Ovis aries: one gene and its partners. The protein of the gene in region 1 binds, or shares a complex with, the protein of each later gene. Links are inferred from orthologs where the notes say so. Each region holds a gene or a part of one and is shown on either strand. Other genes may lie near its edges. The genes, in order: PLXNB1, SEMA4D and ARHGEF12.

Region 1 (6,869 bases):
CTTCTTGCCTGGAGAATCCCAGGGATGGGGGAGCCTGGTGGGCTGCTGTCTGTGGGGTTGCACAGAGTCGGAAACGACTGAAGCGACTTAGCAGCAGCAGCAAATATTTGTGCTCACGTCTTTCAATTAAAACGTCTTTCATTTTTCTTATTTAAAGTAATGTATGTGAGACTGAGTTTTGTCCATTGAACATTCAGATTTGGAACTCGAGGGTAGGGCCTGAAAGTAAGATAATCGCCCCCTATAGTTCCTCTCTCATCTCTTGATCCGGCCCTTGGTTCAAGACCATTTTTGATACACTGGTCCCCCCCTACCCCGCCCCAGGCCTTGATTTTCATTTTGGATTTCCTGGCCTGTCCTCCACTTGTCCAACCCACCTGTGTCGGATGGCCCATGATTTCCAGTAAATAAAACTTGGCTTGGTGGTGACCATGGTAACAGCCTGTTTTGGATCACTTGCTGTGCCATGTTGGAGAGAACTTCCTGGTTCTAACACTGGAGGATTGATCGGAGGAGAGCAGGAACAAGGATTGGGGGAATGGTTGGTAAATACTGCCGGGGACAGAATTACAGGGATTGGCGACCAATCTGGTTCCCTGCTGGAGTGCCACTTAGGCAGGGTGTCATCTCACACACAGCCTAGGGATGGCCTTTCCAGCCTTGGGCAGAGCTCAGCCCACCAGCAGTGTGAGCAGTGAGGCAGTGATGGGGAGGGACCTCTCAGAGGTGGGAGGTACAGTTGGGGGGCATGGAGGCGTACTGCACTGAGAACCCTTGACCTCTTCCTTCTCAGTGGAGAACAGCAGCCTTTGACCTCCTGGGTCAAATGGCCATGGGTGGCCTTGTGTGTCCTTGAGTAAACAGCAGCGAGGAGGTGCTCTGCTTGCACTGTGGGTCTGAAGAACCCACCCTCCTTTCAGGACCCAATGAGGTGGGTCAGCAGGTTGAGTAGAGCTGATGCACAGCAGAGGCATGTGGATGCAGAAATGCTTCCATGAGATCCCGCCCTTCTTGGGAGCCTGTGCTCAGCCCTGGCCAGTGGCCCCATGGGTACAGCGAACCTCCGATCGTCTGGTCACTCCATCCGTGGCCTTCTTTTCTTTTTGTAATGATTCCTTCGGAGGGTGTGGGATGAAATGACCTCTATACTTGGGATGTTCATCCTCCTGGTGGGGTAGGAGATACCATATCTGTCTATAGATGAGGGGTGTTGTGGGGTTTGGAAATCCTAGGTCCTAAACCTAGGTAGGTGAGGTGGGTCCTAAAGGGTGTGCACTTGAGTGAATGGGTCTGGGGAGGGGAGGGGTCCAGGTACTTGGAAGGGCCACCCAACACCCCCAACAAGCTGCACAGAAAGGCAAGGCAAAGGTGGCTGAGGGCCTTGGGGCACACCAGCTTGAATGAGGTGGTGATTGGTGTGGAGCATAAGTTTAGAGAATGACGTGGGGGACCCAGAAGGCAAGATAGCACCTGGGGTCTGTGAAATCCAGAGACAGAACTGGCACAGACAGGGTGCTGAACCCTGGACCCAGATATTGGAAGATTGGTTGGAGGTCCGGGGAGCAAGCCGAGGTGCTGGTGAGGGACAACTTGGAAGGCAGAGTCCTGTGAGAGTGAAGGCACACTGATGGGTGGAAGGTGGGAAGAGGGTGCCTGAAGTTTAGCTCTTTACACAGCAGCCAGTGTGGATGATGTAAACCTGATTGAGGTCCCCCTCAAGCCTTGCAGAGGCCCTGGGAGCTTTCAGGGTGTGTGACCAATTTTGCCTCCCAGGCGGCTGTCCCAGTGGCTGAGAGCCAAAACCCTGCGGAAGTCCTAATAGGATGGACCAAGTGCTGGCTCCTGAGTTTGCAGGGAGCCAAGCCTGAAGGGCCCTGCAGAGGGCACACCTGGGCCTCAGGAGAGAACCCAGGTGTGCCTTTGGAAGGGTGACGTATTTACCGGTGAGGGAGTCTAGACTTGCCCACGGCTTCTCAGCTTGGGGCGGGTCCAGGTACAGGTTTGGGAGGAAATGCGCCCTAGCTTGTGCACGTTTGCAGCGGTGGGCCCAACTCTCCCAGCCCGGCTAGGTGTGGCATCACCTCCACTTGACGGTGAGCAAACAAGCATGTGTGTTTAGGGGGCAGGGGTCAGGTTTCTTGGCTCAGTGATGGCGCAAACCCAGGCCCAACCCCAAAGCCAGCGCTCTTCCCGCACAGCCAGAGGTGGGGGCCGGAAGGAGAGCTTGGCCGTTTGAGAGTCCCAGGAGTAGGACCGGTGGGCAGAAACCAGGCGCCCCGGAGTTCAGGTAAAGAAAGTTGGAGGAGGATGGCCACAGGAGCCAGGTACTGGGCAGGTAAGAGGGAGCTCGGGGGCCCCGGAGAGCGGGGGAGGTGGTTGGCGGGGCAGGTGAGGGGCGTGAGTCCCACCGGGCGCTGGCAGGCAGGCAGGCGGAGGTCCGGGCGAAGCACCACCACACGTCGGGGTGCAGAGCGCGACCCCCAGCCCCCAGCCCCCGCCGTCCGGCCCCTCCCGTGCCGGAGGGCTCCCAATTTCGGCTCCAGCGAGGCGCGCAGGTGAGGCCCGGCGGGGACTGGGCCGGGTGGGGCAGCAGGTCCCGCGGCTCGGCTCTGCGCGCTCCTCCCGCCGCCATCCGCGTTGCCTTGGCAACCGCCGGGGTGCAGCCCTTCTCCCCTCCCCTGCCCCCACCGTCCGCCCCCTAGCGAGCGAGGGGTCGAGTCCCCCGCCCTCGGCAAGTGCAGAGCCGGGAGGGCTGGAATGCGGGGTCCCGGGCGGCTCGGGGCCGCGCGCCCGGCTCTCCCGGCTGCTTCCGGCCTGGCCTGGGCTGCGGGCGGGGGGAGGGCGGCCCGGCGGGCGCGGGGGGGGGGAAGGAGCGGAGCCGGGCCCGGCCGACGCGGCTTTGTCTCCTTTGTTCCCGGCGGTGGCAGCGCCGCTGCGGGCGGGGCGGGCGGCGGGCGCAGTTTTCCGCCCCTCGGTCTCCGGGTAACAGCTGCGACTCCGCCAGACCCACCTCCGGGAGGTGGCGGAGCGGGGGGGGGGTGGCGAGCAGGGGACGGGGGAGGCCGCCGCGCGCGCAGATCCCGAACCCGGAGCGGCCGGCGCCCGCCTCGGCGCGCTCGTCCCGCGGGGCCCGGCCGGGTGGTGAGTGCGGGGCCCGGGGCCGGGCGGTGGGGCCGGGGCGACGCGTCCCCGGGGTGGACGGGCCTGGAGCCGCGATGCCGCCGGGCCGACGCGGCCCGGGGTGAGTGGTGGGCGGCTTCAATCCTGAGAGTTGGGACCACACTTCTCCGCGCGAAGGGAAACTCTGTCGGCTCCGCCTGTAACGCGATTGGGAGACAGAGGAGGTGGAGCCGCTCCTCCGCGCCCCCTCCTCGCCGCCGCCGCCTCAGCCGGGGACCGGCCGGCCTCTTCCCCGCCCTCCCAGGACCACTGGGGGGGTCCTTGCCCTGGTCGGGGAGGAGGGAGGAGGGTCGGGGAAGAGCAACAGGGAGGTCCAGGCTTCCCCTCCGCAGTAACAGCCCTTCCAGGCGGTACTCGGCGCGACTGACAAAAGGCAGACTGGGATTCCCCCCGCCACGCACCCCCAGAGGGGGAGCCCCCCACCCCGCACCCAGACGGTGGGTGATTGATGAGCGCTCGTTGAGTCCTCACTGGTAAATGGTGCCCCCCACCCCGCCCCTACCCCGGCTCAACACAGACAACAGGGCAGGCACTCTCCACTCTGATGCTGTCAATGAGTAACTTCTGGGTGCACCCTGGGAGCCCAGCGAGAAGGCCATAAGGAAAGGCCGGTTTCACACCAATCCCGGCGACTCCGGTGAAGAGGGCTGGGATAGGAACATTCTCCCAGTTTCAAGGGCAGAGTTTATATGCCCTTTTGGTTGGCCAGGACAGCCCCAGGTCCAGGAGACTGGTTGTTCTTTGCAGGCAGAAGTTAGGCAGCCTTGGGTCCTGCTGAATCGGTCCAGAGTTGGGGGGCCCAGAAGAGCTAGGCTTTGACTGTAGTTGGGGCTTGAGATGTGGAGGGTGGAGGAGAGATCTTATTTGTATAAGTTGGGAACTGGAGGCCCAGCTCCAAAGCACCCTTTTCAGTCTGCTCTGGCCTAGTCATTAATAAAAGTGGGGCTGACAACTGTGTCCTTCGAGAAGCTGAGTGGCTTGGAGTGGGTTGTGGGTTCCGCATCTCCCCTGCTGGCTGAGTTTTATTGGCTGTGAAATGAGGGTTCTTTTTATCATTTGAGGAGCACCTGCTCCGTGCTAACGTCTGTCCCGCTTACTGGGGCCTCTGAATTAGAAGTCACATTCTTTGCCTTTAAGGAATTTCAGGATAGGAGCGTGGAACAGGGAGAAAAGTGGCCTTGGTTGGTGCCTCGCGTGCCAGGCACACACCACATCACGTTGAACGATCAGAGCAATCCTGCCTCCCATTCTCCAGATGGGAAATCTGAGGCTCAGAGACCCCAAGGCAGAGCTGCAATGTACACCAGGGTGGTGGCTGGGGATGCCCACCAGTCACACGCGGTGGGCTTCTCAGGAGCCTGGGGGACAGTGAGGGCTTCTCTGGGAGGTGATGGTTGGGTACCTCATGTAATAGGGAGTGAGCGTGGGGGAGTGTGATGAGCAGTCTGCAGTTCGGCCTGGCAGGAACGAAGAGCATGTGTGGGGGAGCCCTGGCAAGGATCCCGCAGGAGAGCGTGTGGACGGGAGGGCTTGACCTTTATCCTCCGGGCCCCGGGGGGTGCCTCCAAAGATGCTGGAGAGAGGGACATCCTCTGAGGTGGGAGGAGGTGCACTGGAGGGGCCAGAGGCTGTCTGTGACCAAGGTGAAGTGAAATATGTGACCGATAAGGAGAAAAATGTCACCACCCTTCTTTCCTTCCCACCCGTGGTATGTGGGGAAGGGCGAGGGTGGCTCGGCCCCGTGGCAGTGATTGAAGAAGGCTGACACTTTCCCCAGCGGGGGTCAGCCTCCAGCCTTCGATGTGACTTTGCCAGAAGCTGTTTGGGTCCTGCCCATTGGCTTCCTGTGGGCCACTCGACCCAGTTGTGATTTTACATGTAGGGAGTGCCTTGGTGGCTGCCCCTTGAGGGTTGGAGAACTCTGGCATGAAGTCCGCGCTGAGCAAATGTTTGTAATCGAATGGTGGGGCAGACCCTCTGCCCAAGGCGTGTCCCTGGGAGGGAGGCGGTGGGAGGGGCCGAGCAGTAGCTGAGTGTAGCAGCCGGCCTTTGCCCATCCTCAGGCAGACCCCATCTTCCTGGGGGAAGAAACTTTCCCCACTGTGCCTTGGATACAAGGTGGGGGGCTCCTGGGAAGCCTGGCCTTGCCATAGTCCTGGGCTTCTCGCCGGGTTCACGGCTCTCCCTGCCGCCCCCCTCCCCCTGCCCCCTCGGTGGCAAACAGTGGCTGCCTTGTTCCCGCTCCCATAGAGCTGTCCTGTTCTCTGCACACTAAAAATGGAAACCCCCAAGCTATTTTGGGAGCAGTGCCCAGCCAGGCTGTGGCCACAGCTCCTCGCTGGACCTTCCTGCAAGCCTTACGCCCAGCCCTGCTCCCTCTGGGCCAGCCTCAGGAGCACCCAGCTGGGGGGGGCCTCGGCTGGGAGGAGTCAACCTGGACCCTGGGAAGCTGTTGGAGGAGCACTGTGCACCGGCAGACTGGCAGCCGGGTGGCAGGAGGGGCCGGGCCATGTGGCCTGGACACAAACAAGCAGGGAGAACATCTCACAGCTTGGGATGCGCTGCCGGTCCCCAGCGCTTTGCCTACCCTGGTGCTCCAGGCTGGAGACCAGCCAGGTTTTAGCAAGGTGGTGGCATGGTTTCCTGGTCTCCCCAGGCTTCAGGTGGAGTCTGCAGGGAGAGGGTCTGTGAGGAGAGCAGGCCCTCAAGGTATGGGAAGTTTCAGGGGATGTGGGGTACTCATCAGTGACTTCCTCTAGGACGCCCCACCCCTGCCCCCACCCCCTCCACCTCCCACTCTGCTCTGACCTGCAGGAGAGGAAATAGCAAGAGATGATGGCCTGGCTTCCAGAGCCCTCGAGGACTTAGGGCTCGAACCAGGGAAGTGTGTGTGATCTGTCTGTGTGGGGTCTGGATGTGGCTGCTGGTGTGTGTGTCTTGGGTGGGTGGGTGGGTGAGTGTGCCTGTGTGGGGTGTGCTTCCGGGTATGTGTCTCTGGCTTGTATGTACAGGCGGTGGGTGCATGCATCCCGGTGTGTGCTCACGCCCATGTGTCTGGGTGTTGGTGTGTGCATGCAGGGTGGGTGGTGTGTATACTTCTTGGTGTGTCCAAACATGAGGGTGCTCATGTGCTGGTGGCAGCCTGGGGCAAGGCTTGGCCTGGGCCTGTGAGCAGGGCATGTACCTGGGCATCCTGAGGGCAGAGTTTGGGCAGAGGGCAAGGATGGGAGATGCTGAGGGCGGGCTGTAGGGGGGAATAGGACCACAGTGGGGGCCAGACTGGGCCCACCAGCCACGCAGCTCCTCCATAGCTGCCCTTTCCCAGGCTCCGAGGATGCCTGGTTCCGCTGCCCTCCCCCTCCATGGGCTCCGAGGAGGCGTCCCCTGTGGAATGTGTTTGGTGGCCGAGGGCCAGGCTGGGCCCAGCTCCACTAGCAGACTGGGCAGTGGGGAGGGGTACCTTTGTGCTGCCTCCATGGTGGGGGGCCCACGTGCCTACTGCCCAGCCCCCAGCTCCATGCTCTGCTCTCTCCCCGGCTAGGTGGCTCCCGCTCAGGGCATGCCGTTGTCTCCTGATCCAGCCGGCCCTGCCAGGTGAGCCTGGCCTCACACCCAAGTGTGGGACTCCCACCTCTACTCAGGACTCTCCAAGCTGTGGTCCAGCCGTTTAGGCCCTGTCCATGGCAGCC
Region 2 (6,871 bases), on another chromosome or scaffold:
TGCGGCCACTGCTGAGTTTTCCAAATTTGCTGGCATATTGAGTACAGCACTGTCACAGCATCATCTTCTAGGATTTGAAATAGCTCAGTTGGAATTCCATTACTTCCACTAGCTTTGTTCGTAGTGATGAAATGTCTCATAATTGAAGACAAAACATTGACAAAAATAAAAAGGCAAACTGAGTTACTTTGTGTGGACCCACCCTCCTGGGTGCTGGGTGGTGAGAAAATGCTGTCATCTCATTGGATCCTCCCTTATCTCCTTTATACAAATGAGGAAACACACTAACAGCAGCTTATGATTGATTGTTGAAGGTGCTGAAGCTGGAAGCATTGACTCTGGGTCAGGCATATGATCAGTTTCTTTGCCGAGCCGCCCTCCACTCTGCAGACAAAGTAAACAGGGCTGCAGCAACCTTATTAAAGACAATGTGGAATGATCTAATGGCTGGAAAAGGTTCCAGGGGTCATCCCTACTGCAGGCCCCCTCCAGCAATTTCCTGCAGTGGCCCCAGAACCTGTCTAGACACTGGCCTTGTAGGACATGGTCCTCCAGGGGTGGCCGGCTCCTCTGGCAGGCAGGTCTGCCAGAAAGCATTCACAAGTGGGACGAAATCGACTCTCTAGTCTAATTTCCACCCATCTGTCCTCGTTCTGCCCTTCATAACCCCACAGGGTAATCCTTCTTCCCAGACAGTTTTGCAAATATTTGGATTCCGCCGTCTTGTGCTCTGCACACTGATCTTCCAGACTGAAGGTTCCACGTGTGTCAACTACCGTCCCATGGCCTGCTGGTGGCTGTCCTTAGATCCCAAGCAAGGGAACTGTATTCTAGACGTGTCAGACTAGTAAAGAACACAAGACAGCCCCCTGCCCCTGTATTTGCAATACTTACTTTTATCCATCTTAAGAATGGGTTCCTTCTTGGGGCCTGGGATGCTGTTAAAACATCTCTTCCCATCAGGTTTTAATCCAAATAGGATGCGGGAACACAGATTCACAGACTTCTTCCACAGGTGGAGAGCTTGGAAGGTACACCTCCCCTGTGTCTTTCTCGTAAAAATCTCCAGCTATGAATGTGGGGCACGTGGTGCTGGTGGCCTTACCTGAGATTCTCTCCTCCATGCTCTGCAATCCTTAGAGAGGGTGAGACAGGGCTCACAAGGTCACCTGGAAGCATCAGAGCCAAGACTCAAACTGGAGCCTATCAGATTCCAGGTCATGTTTCCCCCCTACAGAGGGAGAGGGGGTAAACTCCTGCCCACCCTACCTTCACCCTTTGCACTAGCTTCGCCATCTTAGTTTTGCTGGCACAGTGTTGGCACACTGGCACTAAGGTGTGCCTATGGCAGCCTCAGCATGGAAAGAGAGGAGTCCCCTGAAGAGAGTGAGGCTCTCAGTCCCGTTATTGATCATTTAGGAATGGCTTCATTTTAAAACTCTCACTCTGGTTACCAGCAGCTCCTGGGCATCAGGAAAGTGACCTCAGGTGAGCTGGGAGGGTTCCTGCAGCCTGGGGTCTACAGCCAAGACTGGAGGCAGAGCACCATGACTCTTAACCAGCTAGTTCGTGGCTCAATCATGTTTGACTCTCTGCGACCCCATGAAGTATAGCCTGCCAGGCTTCTCTGTCCATGGGATTCTCCAGGCAAGAATACTGGAGTGGGTAGCCATTCCCTTCTCCAAGGATCTTTTCCACCCAGGGATCAAACCTGGATCTCCCACATTGCAGGCAGATGCTTTACCGTCTGAGCTACCAGAGAAGCCCTGACTCCTACACTACACCCAAGGAAAGCCTGGCTGGTTCATTGGGAACTGCATTCCTTTCTCCGGACAGCGTCCCTCAGCACGCCTAGTGGCCAGATCAACCACCTTCTCAGGCCTGTTGCTTCTTCCTCCAGGGCCAGAGGATTTGGAGCAGTCTTCGGAGGGCACCTAGTTCTCAAACCTGTGGGTTAGTGTAAACGTGTGTCACCAGGGATGATCAAATGGTGAACACTTAACAAAGAGTTGGCATGGGGGCAAACAGAAGGGGTGCAGCAAAACCTGGATTGGTACCTACCCACCTCACCCTGGGGAAGTGGCAGAAGGCTTGGTTTGAAATGTTCTTATCCAAATTAGATTTGCTTAGAAGCAAAGGAGCAAGCGTCCTCAGAGCCCACATGCTTTTTCCACCCATTGGGCAGGTCAGGTCCCCAGTAGAACAGCATCAGAACCTGGGAGTTCGCAAAACCTTGGAGATTTGGAGGAGGGTGGAGGCTCGAGAGGGTGAGGTCAGGTCAGGCTCCCAGAAGGGGCAATGCTCCATTAGCAGGTGGTGAGGAGGGGGTAACTGCACAGGTCATCAGAACGTGTGTTGGACCCAGCAGAGGCCTGGCCAGGGCAGAGGTTAGCCTTTGGGGGCTTGGGGGTTAGGGGAAGAGGTGGAAGGTGGGGAAGGAAGAGGTCAGAGGGAAAGAGTGGAGATGGAAGGTGGCAGGGGTGGGTGGAGATGGAGGGAGTGGAGGAGTGCAGGAAGGTGAAGAAAGGGGAGGGAAAAGGGGAGGGACGGAGCGGGTAGGGGATGAGAAGTAGGGCGGGGAGCCGGCCGGCGAGGAGGAGGAGGCAGGAGAAGAGGGGGAAGGGAAGCGAGAGGAGGCGGGAAGGGGAGGAGGGGAGCGGAGGAGGGGCCTGAGCGCAGCCCCGCGCCCTCCCTCCCGCGCCGGCCTCCGCGCCCTCCCTCGTCGCAGCATCCCCGAGTCGCCTGGCCGCGCCGCCCCTCCGCGCCGGGCCTCCGAGCCGGTCGCCTCCGCCTCCGCCGCCGCCATTCCTGCGCCCGCGCTCGCCTGGCCCGGCACCGCGGGGCCGCGCGGCCAGGACACGCCGCGCCAGGTAAGGGCTGGCGGGTAGAGGGCGGGCGCGGGCGGTGCAGGTGCGCGGGGGCGGCGAGACCCTCCCCCAATCGGCCGCCGGAGCCTCGGCTCCGAAGCCCCCTGACTCCTCCCGGGACCCCCGGGGCCTCCCCGGAGCCCCCTTCCCGGAGCTCCATGACTTCTCCCCAGACCCTTGAGTCCCGTCCTAGGACCCCCCCAGGACCCCTCCCCTCCTTGGCTGCCTTCCTGTCCCGGCGCGCAGGTGGCTCGGCAACGCTCGGGGCTCGGGCGCGCGGCAGACCCTGGCCCGGGGCGGGGGCGGTGTGTTCTGCCTGACCCGGGGCTCCTGTCCGCTCGGCCCCCGCCCCACTCCGGCCATTCAGGCCTGGCCCGGCCCCGCGGCTTCTATTTCTGTCGGCGGGGCCGCGGCCCCCGGGGCGCTAGACCCCGAGCCGCGCACTCAGACAGGTGGGGCAGGTCGGGGCCCTGGCAGTGAGTGTTGCAGGCCTCGGCTTCCTTTTGGGTTTTGGCTGCGTGATTCTAGAATAGCCAAGGAGAATCAGCAGCCTTAGCTCAGGGCTGCACCTGTTGCAGCCGCCTGGTGAACTGCAGGAGGCTGAATCCACTGGGGTTTTGCCAGTGCAGGCGGTGGAAAGGAGGGTTGGGTCGTGGTGGTCCCCTTCGTTTTATTTCATTTAGTATCGGAGATGGGGTTGTGTGGGCGTCTGGAGGTGGGCAGTTCACCAAAAACGAGGCCTGTGGTCTAGGGCAAGGGTCCCTGATTTCTGGAGCGCGTTTGCTATGCAAAGTTGTTCAGCTTTTGATTTGAAAACCACCACTTATGTTAAGCACATCCAGGACTTATGGACTGTGGCCAAGTGGCTGGCCCCCCCATTCTGAGTCTGTTCAGATCCACTAGGCGCCACCGAGCGGAAGTTTCCTTTCCAAGGGTGAAGTGACATCGGTAGCCTGTCAGCTCATACCTGCCCCAGGCCTGGGGCCTGCCTTCTGGCTGCCTGGGCGCTGTATTTTGGGAATGTTTACTGTGTCCCAGAAACAGGCTGCCTCAGTCAGTGCTGGGGCCAGGATTCTGGCCGAGATAATGCCACGATTGTCACTTGAACGGTTGGTGTCTGTGCACATCGTCTGCAAGAATAAAGAAGAATAAAACAGACCTGCTCGGAGTACTCCAGGCAACCAGTCCTACCAGGGGGAAAGTCTGCAGGGATGAGGGGATGGTGAAGGGATTCACTGGGGCATTTCTGGGGACAAAGACTCTCCCCACCAAGAGGCTAGACCTTCAGATTGCAAAGGGAAAAAAAAAGTTTGTATTATGAACAGCGGGTAAACCAAATAAAGAAAGAAAAATTGCTGACACTGAGAGGCAACCCAGCCCTGGTCTACTCTTGAGCCATGTTATAGGACCATGAGCTGGCATTCGAGAGGTACTGGCTCTCTATGATTGCTGGAAAATGCAGCGTTACCCCTGTGCTGGTAACTGGGGTGCTCGGACAGCCTTCTTTGGGGTCCTGGCAGGTGGTGCATCCACCTCAGCTCAGGAGTGGGGTGCAGGGCCGCGCTGCACAGCTGTCCAGTGGGTCTGGGGCCAGGGAGATGACCATGATGACATCATTCACTCGTGACCCAGTCCCTGTGGGTTAGCCAAGGCAGGTTTCATCTCAAGCGGCTTCCCCCCTCACCAGGCAGGGATGTCTAGGCCAGTCTCGGGAGCGCACACTAACGGCTGGCTCTGAGTGAGGGGGGAGGACCATCGCTGGTGCCAGCACATAGCGAAATCAATAATGTGTTGCAGAGATCAATGGTTTTTTCATTGGTCCTCTGTGCTTCCAAAGAGAACCTGCCTCTCCCACACTGAGCATGGACAGTTTCAGGCCTCCCACCCCTCCCTCTGGGTTCTGTTTCTGGTGTGTGGGGGGGAAATGGGTGTGGCCAGGAGCCTCTTCCTGATCCCTTGTGTGGTGAGCCTGGGGCTCCTGGATTGGCAAATGGGCCCCGGGTCCCCTCCCACCACCAGGCGTCCCCTTTAGGCCCCTGCTGTTGCATAAGTGTATTGGTTTCCCGATTGTTCCTTAATTCACAGTGACCTTCCCCTCATGCTAACAGTTTGTTCAAAAGAACTGAGAAGGTGATGTGGCAAGTAGTGTGTCCCAGTGCCCCTGTGCCCCCGGCCCCCATCCCCAGTCTCTTCTGGGAGTGATAACAGTGACCAAGTTAACCATCCAGGCCTGCAGGGGGGCCATGGGGTGAAGCTGGCCATGTAAAAATACACAAATGAATTTGCCATCAACTGACTGTCGAGGGTGGCTGCAGGAAGAAAGACTGCTGTCCTTTGTGGGGCTTGGCAGGTCTAGTCTCCCCTGCTCCACCTGTGCCTCTGGGGCTCTTGGCCATTCAGGGATGTCTCCGGACGTCACCCGAGAGTGGGCCGGTCGGGCAGGCTTCTCTGCACTGGAGACTCAGCACAGCTCGTGCACATTGCAGCCTGCCTGCTGTCCAAAGGTGATGGAGAGAAGTGCAGATTTATTGCTGCTGCTGCTACTGCTGCTGCTAAGTCGCTTCAGTCGTGTCCGACTCTGTGTGACCTCATAGACAGCAGCCCACCAGGCTCCCCCGTCCCTGGGATTCTCCAGGCAAGAACACTGGAGTGGGTTGCCATTTCCTTCTCCAATGCATGAAAGTGAAAAGTGAAAGTGAATTCGCTCAGTCGTGTCCAACGCTTTGCGACCCCATGGACTGCAGCCCACCAGGCTCCTCCGTCCATGGAATTTTCCAGGCAAGAGTACTGGAGTGGGGTGCCATTGCCTTCTCCAAGAGATTTATTAGGAGAAAATATCTGCTGATTCAGTCAAGTGGAGATAGCACGTGAGTGGGCCTTGCCTGGAGCTGGGCTGGCATTGTTCAGTGCACCAATTAAGGTGATCTTTGGGATAAGCAAATTGGCTCATCACAACTCCTTGGAGTGGCTCACTTTCAGTTGCCTGTCCCTTCCTGAGTGCATGGTCATTTACCTGGCGGTATTGTACCTGGACCAGGCATCATAGCAGCCCAGGAGTCGTTCCCCCATAGCTGCCTTCCAGCATGCCCTGTGATCCGCCAGTAGGACTGGGTCCTTTATTTGGTCTAAAAGTCTCAGCTGCTCTCTATGAAAGTAGAGACTTCACCCCTTCCCCAGGTCACTTCTATGTGTTACTCGGGACTGCAGCTTTGAACGAAGTGCAGTTAACCAGCATTTGAGCCAAAAATCATTCCTTTAAAAAATGATGGTGTTTAAAGAGATAGTTGGGTGTTTGTTGAGTGAACAATGATTTTAAAAGATAATTATATTCCTTAACAACGGTATTGTGGTTATGTTCACACAGTCTTTACCCTTTAGCTGTAGATGCTGGAGTGATCTGCAGAGGAAGCGAGAGCTGTTTTAGATTAGCATGGGTGGGGGATGGGTTGGGTGATGGAGGGAGCGGCATTGACCACTGTTGAACGGTTATTAGCTCTGGGTGATGGTACCTGAGGGTTTGTTAGTCTCCTCAGTCTTTATCTTTAGTCTTTAAAAGTCTTATCATAAAATAGTTAATGATCTAAGAATTCCATTTCCCCCTCTCAAATGCCATAGGATCCTTCACTTCATGGAATTGTTGAGGTTTACTTTAAAAGCAGTGCTGATGAGTTAAGTGAAAACATTGCTCTTTAGTGTAGACTGCATAGAGTGATCCTATTTACACATGTATAGGTAATAAAGTGTAGAAGCATCTGGAATGACACACGCTGTGTGTCAAGCAGACGATGATAGAGCGCCCTTGGTGGATGAGGAGGGCAGGTGCTGCTCCAGACTCTAGGGACACAGCTCCGAGCAAGAGTGGCTGTCAGGCTGGTGACTGGGATGGGAGGGAAGGATATATGTGTGCGTGTGAGTTGTGTGTGCTTGGGTGTTGGCAGAGGGTTGAGAAGGGTGTGGAAGGAAGGAGGAAGGGGAATCTATCCTTTTAATCCCTCACCTATTTC
Region 3 (6,388 bases), on another chromosome or scaffold:
AAGTGAAGTCGCTCAGTCGTGTCCAATTCTTTGCGACCCCGTGGACTGTAGCCCACCAGGCTCCTCCGTCCATGGGATTCTCCAGGCACGAATATTGGAGTGGGTTGCCATTTCCTTCTCCAGGGGAATCTTCCCAACCCAGGGATCGAACCCGGGTCTCCCGCATTGCAGGCAGACGCTTTAACCTCTGAGCTACCAGGTGAAACCTGTGGACCTTGTTAACACCTTTGTTTCTGGATCGGAATAGCCTCATTCAAAAGAATGAAGGCAAGTGAGCACAGACTGCTGCACTGAACACGGGAACCATCTGTGGTCCCCGGGAGACAGGAAAGCACAGCAGGACCCGAGCAGGGCCTGCTTCCACCGCTACGCGGCCTCAGTTTACTCCCCTCACTGCAGCTCTGCCTTCTGCTTTTGCAAACGGGAAGAAAGACAGAACACAGGTGCCATGGGGACTGACAACTGCAGCTCTTCTTCGAGAGGAAGAGCCGAGTCAGCAGACGGTGGCCTCTGCTTGATGCATGATGTTCGGAAACAGGTGTCTTTGTTTTTTTTTTTTTTTCAGAGACAAGAGATGAAATAGAATCTCACAAGGTTTTCACTTTCATAAATCATTTCATTCAATGGACTGTTCAGGCAGGATGATTCTTGAGTCAGAAACCCACAGCATTCACACACCTGAGTGCTTGTCTGTGAGGGCTGATCCAGCCAGCCTTTGGCAAAGAATGGTGTAACTTTCCTCCACCTTCTGTAAAATAAAACCCACAGGTTTTTCATTCAATCATTAAAAAAAAAACCTTTATTTTGAAAATAGGAATGAAGGCTTTTGTATATTACAGGTCTAAGCTGTCAAATTTAACATTAACGTCCTTAAAATTTTTGTTAATAGGAAAAAAAAGAAGTAAATTTCATTTCCTTTTACCTGCTTCTCCCTTGAGTGAATACCTTAAAATGTTCCCATGCAGAAGAAAGTAGAGGAGAGAGCAACTATTAGAAGTGATTATTCCCTCCTGCCCTGGAGTCACCCTTAAAATGATCCCATATGTGGCATGAACTAAGTTAGAGCCAATGTGCCCTCGATGGCCTCTGAGAATCTTACCAGCCGCAGGACATCCCTACATGTAACCCTACAAAGGAAGGAAAACCTATCACAGGAAGGTGAAAGAAAAACTAAGGGAAACCAATCTTTAGCTAAGAGACTAAGAACACTCTGAACTCTGCCCCCAAAACCTCTACTAAGTAATGTCATGACAAAACATCTGGGCTCTGGTACCTATGCCTACAGATGGCAAACTTACAGAGTCCTGTTGTCAGAAAGGACCACACAGGTCAGCTCTGCAGTGATGGCTCACACAGTGACATCTTCAATTGCCCATTTACAGAACCCCTACTCATAGGCAGGTCTTTAGATTACCACTGGAGCCACTGGAGACAGTGTCTCTCTGTCACAGCATCTGGGAAACTATCAACATCACGCTACAATTCACAGATAATTAATAGGTGATGGCAAGTTAAGGCATTTCCCAGCCTAGATTCCTAACTACACAAACTCCACCTATCTCAGCTTATTGCTCACATTTTCTCATGGAGGTCAGCCAATCATCCCAAATGTATTCAGGTCCTTAAACTTTGAAAGCCATACACACACAGTTTATAGAGTACAACTTTTTCTGTTCTTATGATGTGTAACCAGGTAAAACAATGCTGACCTTAGTTTTTCATCCAGGTCTACTCACAGACAATGGTCAGAGACAACACACAAACCTAGACCCTCAGCGAGGTTACTGACATCAGCATGTCGATCATTCTACACTTCCTCTCTGTTAAATGTGTTTCTTATATCCGACTCCTAAGGATGAAGTCCGAGGTACCTTTAAGTGTTCAAGGTCAGCCTCTATTTTACGAATGTACTCCATGATCTGGCTTTGTGAATCAGCACAAGCAGAGGGACTCTGGATCTCAAAACAGGAATCCTCCATAGTTCCCCAGCGCTGCTGGACCAGGAATTCTGGGGTGAATGGTGAAACAGCCCCATCAGAATGAGCATTCTGGGGAGAAGGCTGCTGCTGGTGTCCAGAGTCCAGAGAGGGGATGCCTGCCCCGGGCTGAAGGGGGAACGAGGAAGCAACCTCGTCGTCTGTGGAGCTCTCCTGCACCGGGTCATAGCCATCAAGGATCAGATAGGTTCCTACAGACAGAGACAGGACAGGTTAAAGAGGTTAGTACCACCTCCAACACATCGGAAAATAATGTGGGGTGATGTGCTGACACCTTTAAAAGCTATTGAAAAGTGAAAGTGAAAGTCGCTCAGTCGTGTCTGACTCATTGCAACCCCATGAACTATACAGTCCATAGAATTCTCCAGGTCAGAATACTGGAGTGGGTAGCCTTTTCCTTCTCCAGGGAGTCTTCCAAACCCAGGGATCGAACCTAGGTGGCCCGAATTGCAGGCAAATTCTTTACCAGCTGAGCCACTAGAAAAGCCCAAGAATACTGGAGTGGGTAGCCTATCCCTTCTCTAGCAGAGCTTTCTGACTCAGGAATCGAACTGGGGTCTCCTGCATTGCCAGAGGATTCTTTAACATCTGAAATAGCTTCAAAGCTATTAAAGAGGGGGAAAGGCCATTAAGTTCCAAATTCCAAGTTACATTTTCAGGACATCAGAATTTTCTTACTTCAGATTAAAGCTACACTTAGCAAACACTCCTGGTAATTCCGGAATAACTTCATGTTTGCTAGCATTTTGCAAGTTAAAAGCTGAAAACTACCAAGTCCCTATATGATCTTATGACCACTTTCCCTGTCAAATACCTACCTGGCCTCATCTCTCACCATTTCCTCCCACAGCCTGTGCTCTTTAACCACAGAATGCCTGCTCTGGCCTTGCAGACTGTGTGCTCACCTCCTCTGTTGGAACACTCTACTCCTGGACACCCACACAGCGTCTTCCTTCCCTTCCCTTCCCCTGGGTCTCTGCTCAAGTGCTACCTCATGAGAGGCCTTCTTCCCTGACCACCCTGTCCGTTATCCTTACTGTCTGCGCCCCTCAGTATGACTTATTTTTCTGTATCATCCTTACTATCTGACATCTATTTATTTGGTAACTTATTTACTATTACTCTTTCCCCAAGTGGTGGTGAAGCTTCATGAGAAAAGTGGATTTTTCTGTGTTTTATTCACTGTTACATCTCCCGGGACCTAGGATGGGGTCCAGCATAGAGTAGAGACAGTATTTACTGCATGAAAGAACAGACACTATACACAGACACACAGACACATACATGAGATAACGCTTGGATATCCAAGCAACATCGATTTCAGCACATAGGACAAATAACGACGATCGAAATCAAAGTTTAAATGTGAAAGGAACTTGCCTGAGATGCGCAAATTAACATCCTTCTCTTCCTTTTTAACTGCTCCATCACCTTCTGATGGATTATCATCACTATGTGCTTCACGGGCATCAAAAAAGTGCTCTCCACTCTCATCAAGACCCCCTTCTGGCTCTGAGGGAGGCATCTCTGGGGTCATAATCATGTGGTCCATTACTAAAATGTCACTTGCCTGGCTCTCTTGGAATGCCAGTACTACTGAATCCCGTGGAGCAGAAGATTCAGTTGAAGTCCGTGGACTGTAACAAGTTGAAATGTCACCAGTTCCAGTTCTAAAGGGCATCTGTGCTTCAACAGGATGACAGGCCTTAATATTTTCAGGGTTCTGGGTTCCACTGTCTGCCTGCACCCCCAGAGAGGCTGTCCTGCATCTTGGAAAATGTGGCCAGTCTTCCTGAGTGCTCTTCTCAGTCAAGCCCAGCTGGTGTACCAGCAGCTGCTTCAACAAACCCACTAGAAGATTTAGGAAGTGGGGAGAACACATGCATTCACATAACCTCAGACAGACAGAATTAAATTAGAGGAATTATAATTTCTCTCTTAAAGCCAGTACCTTTTTACTAACATACAATAGAAAACATTAATTTCACACAATCATTTTTTGTTTGGTTTGAAAAATGAAATAAAACACCATCTAGAGAAAATTTAAGATTAAATTAGACAAAAAAAAAAAAAAAAACTGAAGAATTCTCAATGGAGATTTTCCTATTATTCTCCTATTTAAAACTGTTAAATAACCAATACCATGCCTGCCTCCTCTTTTTCTTCCATATAACTGGAATACCACCCCCAAGGTACTTCTTAAAGGGATGTAGAAAAGCTGTATTAACCTAAACAAAAGAATCTAAAAGTTCTGCTTTTTCCAGAAGCCCACACTATTTACATAGGCATTTTTTCTAATTTTATTAGAGACACAGAACATTTATTTTATCATCTATAATAACCCAAAGAATCTCCTTAAATGGTGACAAAGAAAACAAAGCTGGCCTGTAAATTTAATTCCAATGTTTGGTACCATGCATAATTTCAAAGGATAAGGAAATATTTATTCGTTTTTAAAAATGACCTAAGTAACACAGCTTCCTTAGGTTGCTAAAAACAGAACCAATTTAATTTTAAATGGGCCAGTGTATGATGTGAGGCCACTCAATGAGAGGGTCAGTGGAACACTGTTAGTGAAACCATCAGAAATCATTACCACTGTTAACTCAATGAGTCTAGAATAAAGTAAGTCTTAAATGACTGGACCAATTCCCTACTTTCAACTACCTTGATTTCTGTCTTCCCTTTAAATAAAGTCTCCACACGGGTTTGGGTCTTTGACCCTCTGTCTCTCTGTTCTGCAGTCACTCCCTGAGAGATGCTATGAATTCATATGGCTTTGACACTCAGAGCCATCTTTCTCCCCAACCTCCTCCAAAATTCCCGTCTTAAAATTCCAACCTCCTGCTCATCCTTCCTCTTAAACGGCTTGCCATTCATTACTTACATCTCAACATGTTTTAAAATTGAGCCCACAATCTATGGCAAAGGAAAGAAGGAGAAAATAAAGTGTCGCAGTGGGCAGTGGCAGTCCTTTCTAATTTTTATTTCTGACAAGAAAACTAAAATTATCTCTAAATATTCCCTTTCCTTTGTCCTCACATCCAAAGAAGTCAACTGTTTTAAGTATTTGTTGGTTCCTCACTTCATTTTCATTTCTCTAACACCATTCCACCATTCTAGTCCAAACCCATTTAGCCTCAAGCCCAGACCACACCAATCCTCTTTCCATTCAAATCCCTCTGCAGCTCTCGGCCAGAGTATTCTTTTTCATTACGAATACATATACTCCAGCTTAAAAACTTCAAATGGTTCTTTCTCTGCAGCAGCCTTTTCCCCTTCCTCTGGTACACCTGAGACATGTGATGCACTCCTGTCTGTACCAGTGGTTCTCAACCAGGCTGGAAAGGTGGGGGGATAGCTAAGAGAGTGGCAAGGGGCATCCAGTCATGCACGTGTGTGCGTGTGTGTGCGTGTGTGTGCGTGTGTGTGAGAAGAATGGGCTGTGGTGAAGAACACTACAGTATCCACAAGAAAAACAGAAGAATATCTGGAGCTTGAAACAGTCCTCAGAACCCTGTGGTGTGCCGCCCTTCAATCTAGTCTTCAGGGTCCACAACAGCTGGGCTCCACAAAGTGTCCTCCAGCTTTCTAACCTTGCCCCACAGCTCCTTTAGCTTGTGTGGTCTCCCACACAGGCCAGCTGCCCTACCCACCGCGCTCTGAACACCCTCAGAGGTTTAGCCTTTTTGCTTTTGGTCCTACCATTCTTCTTATCTGAATGACTTCTATTTATTCTCCTATTAATAAATACCTATTTTGAGTCTTACCCATTCTTCAAGGCAGTAATCACAGCCCTCTTGTTTTCTAATGCCTCCCTTCCCTGGTCACTCAAACCAGATCAATTCTGACATACCTATAAAGCTTATCTACTTAAGAAGGTAGGGGAAAGTTTTCTGTCATCTTCCAAACTAGACTGCAAGATTCTTGAAGGGAAAATTCATAGTTTATACTTTCTTGACTCTCCCTAAATGGTTGCATAATACATTATAGAACTCTGGTGCTTAATAAGTCTATCTGTGTTAATGTATGAATAGAACTTACAATTCCTTAGTGCATCCAGTGCCCACCGTTCTTCTGAGACAGGCAAGTGTGGATCTGGGATTATGATTTGATAATTCACTCCAACTTCCTTTAGTGTCCCGTCTGCATGCTGCTCCTTTGCAAACTGTCTCTCAGCCACAAAGAGGTCATCTACTTCCGACTTCCCAGAGGTACCCAGCGAATGAGACTGAGGTTTTGATGACATTAAAGGAGACTCTAATCCCAAATCTCTGTCTGTTCAATGGAACAGAGAAAGTAGAATACATCTTAGCAAAACTTTTAATGTGAAGCACCCAGAAAAATATTTGGAAAAAAATAACCGCATAAGCTACAGAGATTGTCCACAA

Evidence for each region.
Region 2: the proteins of PLXNB1 (region 1) and SEMA4D are in contact, whole or in part, in a crystal structure (PDB 3OL2), measured with the Homo sapiens proteins. The link is inferred for Ovis aries from reciprocal best matches to the Homo sapiens genes PLXNB1 and SEMA4D. Residues at the interface, in NP_001123554.1 of Homo sapiens: Leu80, Pro81, Pro82, Glu87, Arg136, Pro137, Gly138, Asp139, Thr140, Tyr142, Gly178, Glu202, Lys205, Ala207, Gly209, Arg210, Ser212, Glu213, Arg235, Arg242, Asp359, Val360, Asn361, Ser362, Leu367, Pro368, Thr371, Tyr375, Ser379, Asp380; in NP_001358123.1 of Homo sapiens: Glu99, Lys100, Gly101, Phe158, Tyr179, Phe181, Leu182, Gly183, Ser184, Arg198, Tyr201, Ile203, Glu208, Val240, Leu264, Arg265, Thr266, Leu267, Gln268, Lys270, Thr347, Gln350, Ser351, His352, Thr353, Asp388, Gln392, Lys395.
Region 3: the proteins of PLXNB1 (region 1) and ARHGEF12 are in contact, whole or in part, in an NMR structure (PDB 2OS6), measured with the Homo sapiens proteins. The link is inferred for Ovis aries from reciprocal best matches to the Homo sapiens genes PLXNB1 and ARHGEF12. Residues at the interface, in NP_001123554.1 of Homo sapiens: Glu2129, Lys2131, Val2132, Thr2133, Asp2134, Leu2135; in NP_056128.1 of Homo sapiens: Phe82, Gly83, Leu84, Thr85, Val86, Ser87, Gly88, Asp89, His127, Val131, Lys135.

The regions. Positions count from the first base shown.
Region 1 is NC_056072.1:51,461,353-51,468,221, forward strand, and holds the start of PLXNB1 (plexin-B1), read left to right. Parts: upstream 1-2,216; 5' UTR 2,217-2,287; exon of another isoform or gene 2,288-2,335; intron 2,336-2,895; exon of another isoform or gene 2,896-2,982; intron 2,983-3,002; exon of another isoform or gene 3,003-3,141; intron 3,142-5,994; 5' UTR 5,995-6,774; exon of another isoform or gene 6,775-6,869. UniProt on the Homo sapiens protein: Receptor for SEMA4D. Plays a role in GABAergic synapse development. Mediates SEMA4A- and SEMA4D-dependent inhibitory synapse development. Plays a role in RHOA activation and subsequent changes of the actin cytoskeleton.
Region 2 is NC_056055.1:24,276,071-24,282,941, reverse strand, and holds the start of SEMA4D (semaphorin-4D), read left to right. Parts: upstream 1-2,721; 5' UTR 2,722-2,870; intron 2,871-6,871. UniProt on the Homo sapiens protein: Cell surface receptor for PLXNB1 and PLXNB2 that plays an important role in cell-cell signaling. Regulates GABAergic synapse development. Promotes the development of inhibitory synapses in a PLXNB1-dependent manner.
Region 3 is NC_056068.1:30,791,932-30,798,319, reverse strand, and holds part of ARHGEF12 (rho guanine nucleotide exchange factor 12), read right to left. Parts: intron 6,276-6,388; coding exon 6,042-6,275; intron 3,849-6,041; coding exon 3,378-3,848; intron 2,189-3,377; coding exon 1,872-2,188; intron 749-1,871; coding exon 679-748; intron 1-678. UniProt on the Homo sapiens protein: May play a role in the regulation of RhoA GTPase by guanine nucleotide-binding alpha-12 (GNA12) and alpha-13 (GNA13). Acts as guanine nucleotide exchange factor (GEF) for RhoA GTPase and may act as GTPase-activating protein (GAP) for GNA12 and GNA13.